3 linked regions of the Arabidopsis thaliana genome follow. The protein of the gene in region 3 interacts with the protein of the main gene of each other region in a pairwise test. Each region holds a gene or a part of one and is shown on either strand. Other genes may lie near its edges.

Evidence for each region. Proteins that work in one complex are often made in the same cells at the same time.
Region 1: the proteins of IAA34 (region 3) and AT5G60142 interact in binary tests that used the Arabidopsis thaliana proteins (3 or more experiments, as listed by UniProt).
Region 2: the proteins of IAA34 (region 3) and MYB15 interact in binary tests that used the Arabidopsis thaliana proteins (3 or more experiments, as listed by UniProt).

Annotation. Positions count from the first base shown.
Region 1 is NC_003076.8:24,215,393-24,219,734, forward strand, and holds AT5G60142 (AP2/B3-like transcriptional factor family protein), read right to left. Parts: upstream 2,358-4,342; 5' UTR 2,200-2,357; coding exon 2,187-2,199; intron 2,073-2,186; coding exon 2,002-2,072; intron 1,961-2,001; exon of another isoform or gene 1,922-1,960; coding exon 1,303-1,921; coding exon of another isoform or gene 1,277-1,302; exon of another isoform or gene 1,217-1,276; coding exon 1,125-1,216; intron 1,034-1,124; coding exon 788-1,033; 3' UTR 555-787; downstream 1-554. Other genes in the region: AT5G60150 (uncharacterized protein), read left to right, coding at 2,819-2,993, 3,171-3,368, 3,466-3,719, 3,840-3,922, 4,026-4,189, 4,302-4,342.
Region 2 is NC_003074.8:8,307,569-8,311,464, reverse strand, and holds MYB15 (myb domain protein 15), read right to left. Parts: upstream 2,257-3,896; 5' UTR 1,974-2,256; coding exon 1,841-1,973; exon of another isoform or gene 1,762-1,840; coding exon 1,632-1,761; intron 1,436-1,631; coding exon 841-1,435; 3' UTR 555-840; downstream 1-554. UniProt on the Arabidopsis thaliana protein: Transcription factor involved in cold-regulation of CBF genes and in the development of freezing tolerance. May be part of a complex network of transcription factors controlling the expression of CBF genes and other genes in response to cold stress.
Region 3 is NC_003070.9:5,181,459-5,185,039, forward strand, and holds IAA34 (indole-3-acetic acid inducible 34), read right to left. Parts: upstream 1,956-3,581; 5' UTR 1,786-1,955; coding exon 1,699-1,785; intron 1,572-1,698; exon of another isoform or gene 1,550-1,571; coding exon 1,396-1,549; intron 1,288-1,395; coding exon 1,147-1,287; intron 1,047-1,146; coding exon 938-1,046; intron 865-937; coding exon 798-864; 3' UTR 533-797; downstream 1-532. Other genes in the region: AT1G15060 (alpha/beta hydrolase family protein), read right to left, coding at 2,595-2,654, 2,771-2,871, 3,133-3,303, 3,505-3,581. UniProt on the Arabidopsis thaliana protein: Aux/IAA proteins are short-lived transcriptional factors that function as repressors of early auxin response genes at low auxin concentrations.

The DNA of each region.
Region 1 (4,342 bases), on a different chromosome or scaffold from region 3:
AATTTTGATCGGAAATAAAAAGGTGAACAAAGTTTCTCCAGATCCAAGTTTTTCCAGATGTGATTTGATCTAAAGGTGTTGGCCTTTTGTAGCAAAAACTTGCAAAAACAGAGGGTTCTCTCTGTTTCGATGCTTTTTCCTTCAAATGGAAAACAAACCATTAATAGTACTCTTCTTATTCAAAAATAATTCGTTAAGCGGACCAAGGTATCGCTAAGGCCCAAACAAAAAACAAGAAATGGGCCTTAAGTTTGGTTCAATCTATATCGTGTAAATGACATTATCGTCCTTAAACAAAAGAACCACAGTAAAGAGTCGAGAAGGGTATATTAGAGAAAGAAGGACTTGTGACATCTCAATTCTTGAACAAGAAACTTGAAACTTGAAAGAAGAATGAGATAGTGTTAAGTGGCAGAGTTCCAAGTATCTTAGTATTATTCTCCTCCTATGCCAATGCTTTTCTTATGATCACATAGAGAGTAATAACATTCTTTTTACATGAACTCGCAGGTTTTAAACAGCCCTGATGTGTGAACCATTCATAATGATTTCTCCCAAAATCTATAGCTCTAGTATACATTATTATTGTAAGACTGTGTTGATCGTCTTTTGCACTTCATGTTTCAGACAAACAAACAAAATCAAGAAGTGTATAGAAAGCATCAACATCGATTATGTTCCGAGAAAACCAATAAGATTCATAAAACCAAGTACTCTACTCATATAAAAACTCTCAAGTAAAAATAGATAATGTCTTGGAGTTAACGCATAAAGCCTTATCAAGAGATCATCCTCTTATAACATGGACCTTGATTTCTCGAACAAGACCATCCATCTCCTTTTCTAACTCACAAATCACCTTGTCATTCAACTTCACATTATTCCTTCTGATTATACTACGGAATCCCTTGATTGTTTGACCCTTAACTTTCCTCTTCAATTTACCAAAGTTTTTCTCGAGTGGATCAATCAAATTGATGAACTCAGGGAAGTGTAAGCCATACTTCGTTATGACCTTAGTTGGTATGCGCAGCTGCATTACAAAGATAACATCATAAAACAGAAGTGGTACATTATTTTAATGAAAATGCAAAAAGACATGAGACTTTCTTCACATTTCTTACCATATTATATTTTATTTGCCGATGCTGGTTCACTGTAAAGAAAGGGTTCATGTGATTATCCAGATATTGTCTGTCATGCTCTCCAGAAGAACCTATCAAAATTTATACGCAAGAAAATAAAAAGACAGTGATGCTCTCAGTCTCAGTTAACTTCACAAGACAAAAGTTTCTATTATACCTTTCTTTTTTTTCTCTGTTTTGACTCCTCTCCATCTTTCTTTCTCAACATCAGCATGATCATCGTCACCATAATCTTGATCATCATCATCATCATCATCATCAATAACTATGATATCTTCACTAGATGTATCTTCCTCAACATAATCTTGAACATCATTAATATCATCATTATCAGCATCATCAAGAGCTGTAATATCTTCACTAGATGTATCTTCCTCATTATAATCTTGAACATCACTAATATCATCATCATCAAGAACTATGAAATTTTCACTAGATTTAACTTCTTCCCCATAATCTTGATCATCATTAAAACCATCATCATTGTCATCAAGAACCGTGATTTGCACTGAACTTCTAAGCCTTTTACACGTTGCACGACCATAGATACAGAAATTGAAACACCAAGAGCCATCAAACTCAAATTCTAAGAACTCTCCACCTTTCAAATCTTCGTCCTTGACTATCTTCTTCCACCCATTAACCATAACAAATCTCTCACTATCACCACAAAACTTCCTAAACGCCACTTTCCAGATGTTTCCATAAATGCTTCTAACAATTACATTTTTAGGCAACGACTTTGGTAAAAAGCTGTTGAAAGAGATGGGTAATTCCTGAAGAGGAAGGATCTAAAAGTTTCAATAAACTAAAAATCTACATATAACCAAAAACAGAGAGAGAAGTGTATTTTTACCAAATCATCTCCGGAATCATCAGGTAAGTACACTTTGAAGAACTTTGGAAGACAATCATCCACAGAAATTCCTGTTCCAAAGCAAGAAAAAAATCAGAACATAGGATAGGTTATGTGATTGGAGAATCAAGAACAAACAATAGCATAAAGATCTTAACATAAAAACAAGAGTCTAAAGAAGAAACCTCTGTTCATCATCTTCACCTCTTTGAAACCCTAACTCTTTTAGTGAAAGTGAAGGTGAAAATGGTTCTTGAAAATAGAAAAGTAAAAGAGCTTTGTTAATAGATCTCCGATCTTTTGGTTTGCTTTAGAGATTTTGCCTTTTGTAGCATAACACAGAGACTGTATTGTCTTCTAGGCTTATTGCTACAAATGGAAAAATAAAACATGTGCTAACTACTTTTACTTCAATGCTCCATGAACCGAACCGATATGATTTTAATCAAACCGAAAAAATATTATCCTAACCAAACCAAACCAATAAAGGGTGAACGAGAATTTAAAATTCAAATAAATGGGCTTTAAAGTCCGGCCCAATCGATTTGCTTTAAATGACAATAATAACCTGAGATTATAGAGAACGTTGGTCCGATCTTCTTTCAATTTCAAGTTTTTCAACCTCTTCCCGCTTACGAGGCCGGGATATTCTATCAACAGTCGTCTCTTCCATCGGCCGAACAATTTCCGATTTACCGACTAGGATTTTCGCCTACAACTTCCGAAGAGATTTTCTCAGTGTAAGTTTGAAAAAACCTAGCTATAGGATTCCGGATTTCCTAATCGTCAGATCTTGGGCTCGAAAGAGAAGCTAGAAATGGATAAGGATCTCTTAGATATCTCTGGAGAAGACGACGAAGATAATTGGCTTCTGAAGAATACGCCGAAGAAAACTAATTCGAGCCGAGGAAAGAGTTATTTGAAATGCTCACCTCTCCAAATCCCTAGATCTAGTCGTATCGTTCCTACTCGGCCTCCTTTTTCCCCAATTGGTAAGCGCTTCAATTTCTCGTTCTCGATCCGAGCTTCGTTCTGATAATTTCTCTCTCCCTTTGTTAGAGTGTTTAAGCATCTGAATTAGCATTGTTTAAATCTTAATTTGATAAAATAGCAAATTAGTATAAATGTTGTGTATTCTGCGGATATATGAAGGTTAATACTTTTTGCAGGAAGAGTAACAGGCACCAGCAACAACAGGGAGCAGCCATGCGCTTCAGTTGATACAGATAGTGTAGGAAAGGAGAATGCTAAAGTTGAATTGCCCAAATTGAGTGTGGAGCGACAACAGATGAAGAAGAAGAAAAAGAATGCAGGGTTTAATTTGCGCAAGAGTTTAGCATGGGATAGAGCTTTTTCAACGGAAGAAGGTGACTTTTTTTTACCAATTTCCTGTTAGTAGTAAAGGTCAAAGATTTGGTCTATGTTACTAAGAATCTTAAGATGTGTGATATGGTCATGAACCAGGTGTTTTGGATTCATCTGAGTTATCTAAAATAACTGGAACTGCTTGCCATCTTGGTGGAGATCGGTTAGCTGCCATTCAGGAAGAGTACAGAGAGTCAATGTCAGCTTCCAAATGTAATGTTTCACCAGGACTACAAGCACTTGAAGAAAACTTATTTAACGACTTGCCTGTGAATAGTAAAAACAGAGAGAAGAAGCTTGTCAGTGGCATAATGCCCAAGTACGGATCACCATCTAAATCCCAATCTTCCTCGGTGAGTTTACTGGACCTAAATATTGTGGAGCTAATGAGGGTCATAAGTCGTTTCTTTCCTTGCGTAAATATATATATTTTGAGGCGCAGTCTATCTAAATGTCGAATATCTGCATTATAGGCCCAGAAAAAAGTTATCTCAGCTCAGGATTTAAGGAGTGGTTCCAAGCGCAGTGGCTGTCCCCGGCCTCCTCCTTCATCTTCATATCCTTTTCTTACTTTGAGTACTGAGTGTATAGGCAATCTTGATATCCTTTGCAGGTCTTGTTTGTGTTCTTTTTGCTTGTTTACCTTAACCATCTTGCACCCTGAAAAGACCTGCAAATGTGCATACAACAACATCACGTTGCAGGGAGCTGAGCATATCTAAAGTTCCTACTACCAAATCTGACCCAGTTACAGTTGGAAACAACATGAAAAGGACTACTCAAAGTCCAATCAAAGCGAAAAACAGTCAACCTACTCAATTAAGTATGTTCACTTCAGTTAGCAAATAAAAACTATTCATCTCATATCCTTTTTAGTTCTGTTACTTTTCATCCTGTTTATATATTGCTACATGGTTTTTTGTCTGATATGACAGAGAATTCTCAGAGGAGCTTAGGATCTGAAAGCTTCTCTAAA
Region 2 (3,896 bases), on a different chromosome or scaffold from region 3:
CGTCATCGTTTAACTTCACACAATTATACCTTTCTCAAATAAAGGGCACAATTTTTTCTTTTCTTTTCTTTTAAGCTACCTTAATTATGTTATGAATTAGATATTCAAAAATTACAATACAAAGCAGTGTCTAAATTTTTAAAAATAATTAGATTATTATTATCTCGATTTTGTTTTTGGTGGGCTATTATCTTAAAGGACAACATCTAGTTTAAGAGTAATCAATAGTTTTCCTTACCAAAAAAAACGTAATCAATAGTTTTATATGTTTTGTATAATTATAATTTAAATATTTTTTGTCATCAATATGGGGCTTAAATTTGGATGATGACGCATAGACGTCGTTAACACATAAACTACAAATGTTTAGAGATTTGAGATTTTAATTAAAAATGTTTATGATCATTAAGCTCCTTTTTCTCAAGTTATTTATTATAAAACTACGTAACTTTACCTTTTCCGCCATAGTTGAACTTTCAAAACCTCATTAGAAAATGATTATAACAGTGAATTAATCTAGTACTTATATTATTTTAATTGCTGTTGTTGTTATAGTGGCATCCAATGTTTGTTGGATAATTATTTCATCAACAAGGCAATATTAATATACGTAGACTCTTTGATTACTTGTCATTGATTATTAATTACTCGTACAAGCTAAACTACTCAATTTTGGAGAAACAAATGAATTCAATTTTTTGAAAACGCAGCCTCTAATTAATACACTAACTACATCACATCAAGAGTTAGAGTGTGTTTTTTTCTCGGTAAACAAAAGCTTTTGAATTTCTTAGCCTTAACTAATTTGCACCATTTCACTTTACTCCTCAAACATGTTAACTAGAGCCCGGCTAAGAGATCTTGTTCCCCGCCGGTTCTAGCCAATACATCGAACCAGAAGTCCATCTCACTGTCAAAAATCATCTCATTATTAGCGGAGCCCAAGTTTTGAAACTCTTGTTGTATCTCAACTAAACCAGCCACTTCTAGGTCATTCGATACGTAGTTGTGTTCATCTTGGCTATACAGTGTCTCTTTCCAGAAGCTTTCATCGATATCCGCACCAAAAGTTTCGAAAGAAACACATTCTTGATCGATAGTACTGATATCTCCCGGTTTGTTATCCATATTAATCTCGTTGCTATAGCCGTCGTGGCTTATGAGTGTCATCGAAGAAACCTCACTTGTCGAAGGCGATGTCGAAAATAAGCTTTCTCCAGAAGGGTTTGATGAATCTGCTAGCTCCGATTCGCTTCTAGTACTGTTCGAGCTCGTTATTACGGATTCAGATTTTGGTTTAGTACCCTTCTTTTTGTTGCTGGTCTTAGGTTTAGCTGGTTGATAATCTTCGAGTCTCTTCTTCAAGTGAGTGTGCCATACGTTCTTGATCTCGTTATCGGTTCTTCCAGGCAGTTTTGCTGCAATCGCTGACCATCTAAAGATGATACCAAAAGGAAAACGAAGAACATCAATACAAAAGTAATTAAAGAGCCGATCATTGTGTAGTTAAAAGAATAGTAGTGCGACCTAGACGTGTGTATAAAGTTACTTTCTTTTGGTGATTTATATATAGTAAGAAAACAAAATAAAACTTGTGTGTCGGTTATATACTTATATGTGAAGTAAAATACCTATTGCCAAGTATTTGGTGTAAGCTGATGATAGCATCTTCCTCTTCTTTGGTGAAATTGCCACGTTTAATATCAGGCTTTAAATAGTTCATCCACCTAAGTCTACAGCTTTTTCCACATCTCAAAAGACCTGTAAATAATAATTACCAATAATTAATGTAAGAAATTTGATCAAAATTAAGAAATTTGATATTATAATTTTTACATACCAGCTTGCTTAGGGAGGGCTCGCCAGTTACTATGTCCATGGTTGAGGATAAAAGAGACCAAGATTTGATCTTCTTCAGGTGTCCATGGTCCTCTCTTCAACCCCATCTTCTCACAGCATGGAGCTCTTCCCATCTCTTTGATTTGTGATTGCTGATAAAAGAAGTTGAAATGTTTTTCTTGTGGTGATGATCAAGATATAATGTGGAGATCAAATTCCTATGAGCTTGAGATCAAATGCTGTTGATGAACATGAGAATGACTGACTAAGGGGTTTGAGTATTTATACTAAAATTGTCAAAAGACATGTGGGAGAATTCAAAAGCATTGGTGAGCTTCTTGGAAAATAGGATGTGAGAGAGAGAGAGAGAGATGTCTTTTTGATTATTGGCAACATAGTCAAAAGTATGTTTTACATAATATTATATCTCATGTGGGAATGAATGATATATATGTTTTAGGGACCGGAGAAAATATTATTATAATAATCGGTCTGCATGTATATATAAATGTGTGTATACAGTGTGATGTTGAAATATGTGGTGTAGTGTGTGATATAGTTTCGAGTAAACAAAGTCGTCGGGTAGACGCACGAAGGGCATTAAAATGAGCCCACACGTATATTTCTTAGAAAATAAACGTTTTAGAGATTGTAAACGACAAACAAAAATCAACGTTGGGTGGATTATGTGTTGACCCAAAAAATCACTATTCATATATCTGCTCGAAAAATTGTTTTACTTTTCTTAGTATTAAACTTAGACATCTTTAGTCTCGGTAGTAATCGTGTTTAGGTTAACAACATCCGTACGTTTTGTATTCTTTCTATTTCTAATTAAGTGTAATTTAAAGATTTTTTATTTTTTTTACTATAAGTGTTGTTTTCACTTTTCTATGCAAAATTAAATGTGTTTAATAGTTTTTAACCAATTATATTTTATATCATATTTTTTTATTGGTTGGATTAATTGTAATTAATAATATTTTTATAAGAAAGAGATAAATTAAATGAGATTTGTATGTTTTCTTAATTTGTGTGCAAAAATTTTAAACTACAAATATTCAAAAATAGAGGGAATAATATTTACTGCATTTACGTTTATTATGACGCCATTTTCAGTCTTTATTTTTAGACTGCTGAATGCCTTAAAACAATTTATTGGTCATAATTAATTGTTAACGTATCGAATAGAAAAAAAACTAACTTTTTCATAAATTATATAAATGATTTTGAGATTCATATAAAATAAATATGTGCTACATAGTTCAGTCAAAAATAATTTACTTCCATTTTATCAAACAATTCGATTAATATGTGTATTTGATACAATACTATAACTACCAAATATGTAACATATTCTAAAGTTTTTTTTTGATAAATAAATTATTCTAAAATTTCCTCACCATTTTATTTTACTTCAAAATCTGGTTATTACAAATTTGCAACTACTGTTTGGGCTTTGAGAAAACAATCCTCTACGAAAAATTACCAGTTTTATACTAGTATATATGCTTTAATATTATTATTACACCAGCCACAAAATCCAAAAATAGAACACGAAAAAATCAATATCTGTCCGCGGGAAAGAGAACAGCTCGTGATAGTATTTGTTGACCAACGCGTTCACACGTATCGCACCCTTTTAAGTTTCAACCTAAAACTTTACCCTTCTTCTGTATTTTGTTAGTATTTGTTAAAATAGAACTCTATTGTTCAAAGTTTCTGGTCAACAAAAGACTGAAAAGAGGCTTACCTACAGGTTTTAGTTTTACCATATAAATTTACACTAACAATTAAACCATCATTATATTTTATTAGAAAACAATAAATAATGTTTAATGAAGAATGATAATGATTAAATGATCATTTATTAAAAAATCTTTTTTGCGTTACTAGTGTTAAATAATTAAAGTACTGTAACATGAAGCATACTGACATATAAAATTTATGTACCCAGTTTATTGGGTCAGAAAGACAAATTATCAATTGCATCATGTTTGGGTTTAGTTAAGGTTTTGCTAGCCTAATAAATATAATATTTATATGTATTTCGTTGT
Region 3 (3,581 bases):
AAGCTGACGCACACTTTTTATTATCTGTATACGTTTTTGGTCAAACCTTTCCTATTGCCTATTGGATGCTGAGATGGACTTCTCTGGATATTCCAAATTATTCCTTCTTTTGATTTGGTTATGTTAAACAAAAAAACGTTTTCTTAGTAATAAATGGATATGGATCAGATTAGGTTCTTAGGAGGATTAGATATGAATGGATGACTCATTGACTTGTAACAATATTAAGCATGCAGAGCATATACTGTATATGTCTTTATTTTATACTATATAAATGCATGTCTTTCTGTATTTGGAGGGTGTTGAATTAATTATGGAAATCACGTCATCCTAATCAGCCACCGGTTCAGTCACTCTTACGTGTAAAAGATAACGTCGTAGACTTTCAACAACTCCGTATGAATGAAAATGTAAGAAAAAAGATCGAGGTTGTCGCCGGAGTTGAGCTCTCTTGTCTTCACAAGGCCTTCGATATCCTACTCATTTTTCGTTTATGCGGATTATGAATTGAAAAGTATGAAAGATAAAATGGCAAATTCACCATCGTAATTACACCACTATATCTTAAAACTGGATGGTTCACAATATCTTCGTATCATGGTAAGACGAGAATCCAGACGTAACATATCGGAGCTCTAGTGATCAGGATTTCACCGAAAAAAGTAGTTCGTGGTTCTTTCTTTATTTCGAATATAATCGTATTCAAAGTTACATTTACCTTTTCTCTTTTGTTTCATTTCCGATTCAAGGCTGACTTGGAAATTATAACAAAGAGTGAAGAAAGAGAGAAGCTAATATTAAAAGGGAAGTACAGCATCGTTTCTTCTTGTGATTCTCAGCCGCTCCACGCTTTCTATGAACTCACTGTCATTTACAAATCACAACACATGTAAACGCTTTATTTCAGTAATCTACAAAGAAAGTATCAAGAGCTTACTTCCATGGAACATCCCCAGCATTTCTCCACAGACCTTCTTCGTCTCTGTAGACCAAACAGAACTCAGACTCCATCTGGAACAACCTCAATCCCGACACACTCTGCATCCCTACAGATTGTAATGAACATCCGGTATAAGCCTACTAGGAACATTACTACTTATAGTACTTACTCATCTTTGAATCCCAAGCTTCCCATGAAAAACTTACCAAACATGTCCTCGAGTTGATGAGCAAGAGTTGAATAGCTTCCATGATCAAGAACACAGACCTTGCGACCTACCACCAAACCATCCATGGTGACCTTTACATAACCCCACTTCCGTCTGTATCCTTCATTACTACAATATCCTTTGCCACATGTCATAACTCATAAGTAAACACCGTCTCAGAGTTGAAAAAATTTACCAAGAAATTAAAGGTAATGGAAATACTAATGGAAACGGCAAAGAAACTCACTTTGGCCAGATGAGTGGTAAATCTCATGTTGTATGGTTCTCAGGCTGAGACCTAAATCGATTACGCCACCAAACTCCGTGGTCTGCGAGTAATATGGATGATACTTGGGAGAATTTGGGAAAACACCGAGTGGGTCTGAGTCCATTGTTGGTTTCTATAACAAATACATATTCAGCACATAACAGATACATAGAAAGGTGAGAATGATGTTGATTTATATCAAGCAGCTAAGGCTAAGAGTGTCAGGAGAGTTAAGAGACATCATTGCAGACAGGGAACAAACAAAAGACAAGAACACATTACCTTCCAGGAAAGGATCAGTTTGTGGTCTTTTTGTTGTTTGTCTGATGCCACTAAGTGCAAGGGATGGGGAGGATCGCTGCAATACATCTGGTCAGCCAACACAAAAACCTGAAATTATCGTGAAGTCAGAATTGTACTATACTAATCACAGCAAGCACATCTCTATCTAGTGAAGTGTCTCAATGTTATCAGAGAGTGTTGACAACTCATTGTCTCAAGTCAAAACCTGTAATCACTCAACATCAAACACGTTACAAAAGAAATAGGTAAGTCGTGCTAGAGAATTCTGTACCATAGAGAATCCAACGAATTAATTTATGGACAAAGAAAGAGAAGAACTAGGTATGGTCTTACATGATGGTGGAGAGACAATATCTTTCATGAAAGAGAGCTCTGTTGTTTAATACTAGACAATTCAGATCTATCATTACATCATGTATCCCACACATTATCTGAGAAGTAGGGCTGTGTCATTAATGGATCTAAGACAGAAAATGTACACATAAATCCATGTCTATACAATTGCTCTCATGGATAACTCAAGTCCTCCAAAAGAAGCAAAGCAGTACAAGAGAACACACCAGTTCTTCTAAAGATAAATGTTCAAATAAAAAGCTCGTTGCCATAACAAAACAAGGGAAATCATCACAGTAGACAAGAGCTTCCAGCATCTCATTCGATGCTTTTCCTAATTTACAGGTGTATGACTTGAAAAAACTGCATCCTAAGCTCATGTACAGTTTGCCCAGATACTAAATGTACGTGTCTTAAACGGAAATGGCATCCTTTTTAACAGGCGCTTCTGAAACACACTTCTTCGACACCACCTTAGTGCGACGTCTACAATCTACATGTGCTATAGCATGCAAGGAACAGAAACTCCCGAAATGTTTCACTTATGCGGAATCATGGTGGCTAAGAAATTCAGTTATGCAAGGATAGACTTGCTCCACTGCCTGCAGTAAGTTGTCAGAGAAACGATTAACAAACGAAACAAGCATGCACATGATACAGCATTGAACAAAGTTCCAACATAGGAGGAGACCTAGAAATGACTGGGGAACAAACATACCAGTCGTCCTCCAACCAAATCATAGTGTGCATAATGTGGTCCATCTGGTTCTCCAAGTAACTTATAAGTGACCAAGTTCTCCGGAAACAGCTTAACAGTGTCTGCCATATTCACAAGCATTTGTAATTAGTCATAATGGTGAAAATGCATGTGTGAGTAGCTTAAAAATTTATTTGGTGTGTGTGGAAAGTATCACAAAAGTTAATCCATCTACGCCTTATACAGCCTCTCATAACTCGAAAGAATTCAGTAACAGCAATGTAGAATTTAAAATGAAATGCATATCTGGGTAAATGAATGGTTTCATGTATATGCTAGAGTCATCTATGCAGAATTTCATAATAAACATTATGTTAGTATACCTTCCACAGCCGCAGGGGGGCAGATCAAGTCCCGATCACCTGCAAGAGCTAAGACAGGGACACTGGTTCTGGGAAGATGATCCTTATAGTAAAATTTACCACTACGATCACGTAAGCCTCCCTCTCGAAAGGCCGTTGTCAGCTGAATAAGTAGTTTTGCAGGTATGGTACCTAGATGTAAGAAAACAAAGAAACTCTTGAAAATCACCATAAAGGGAGCAATTACGGATTGCAAAAAAAGTCATGGTACATTCAAGCATCTAATAGTAACTGTTCCAGCATTTTCTTTTTCTTAATGAAGATACGTTTCTTTTCCACTTAAAATACATTAAGAACTCACATACTTAAATGGGATCAACTGTTTTTACTTACAGAAGTTATTCAAGACAAGCTTTTCTAACATTTCAGGGTGCATCATATCTGTTGATGATATCAAATCATTAAGCCAA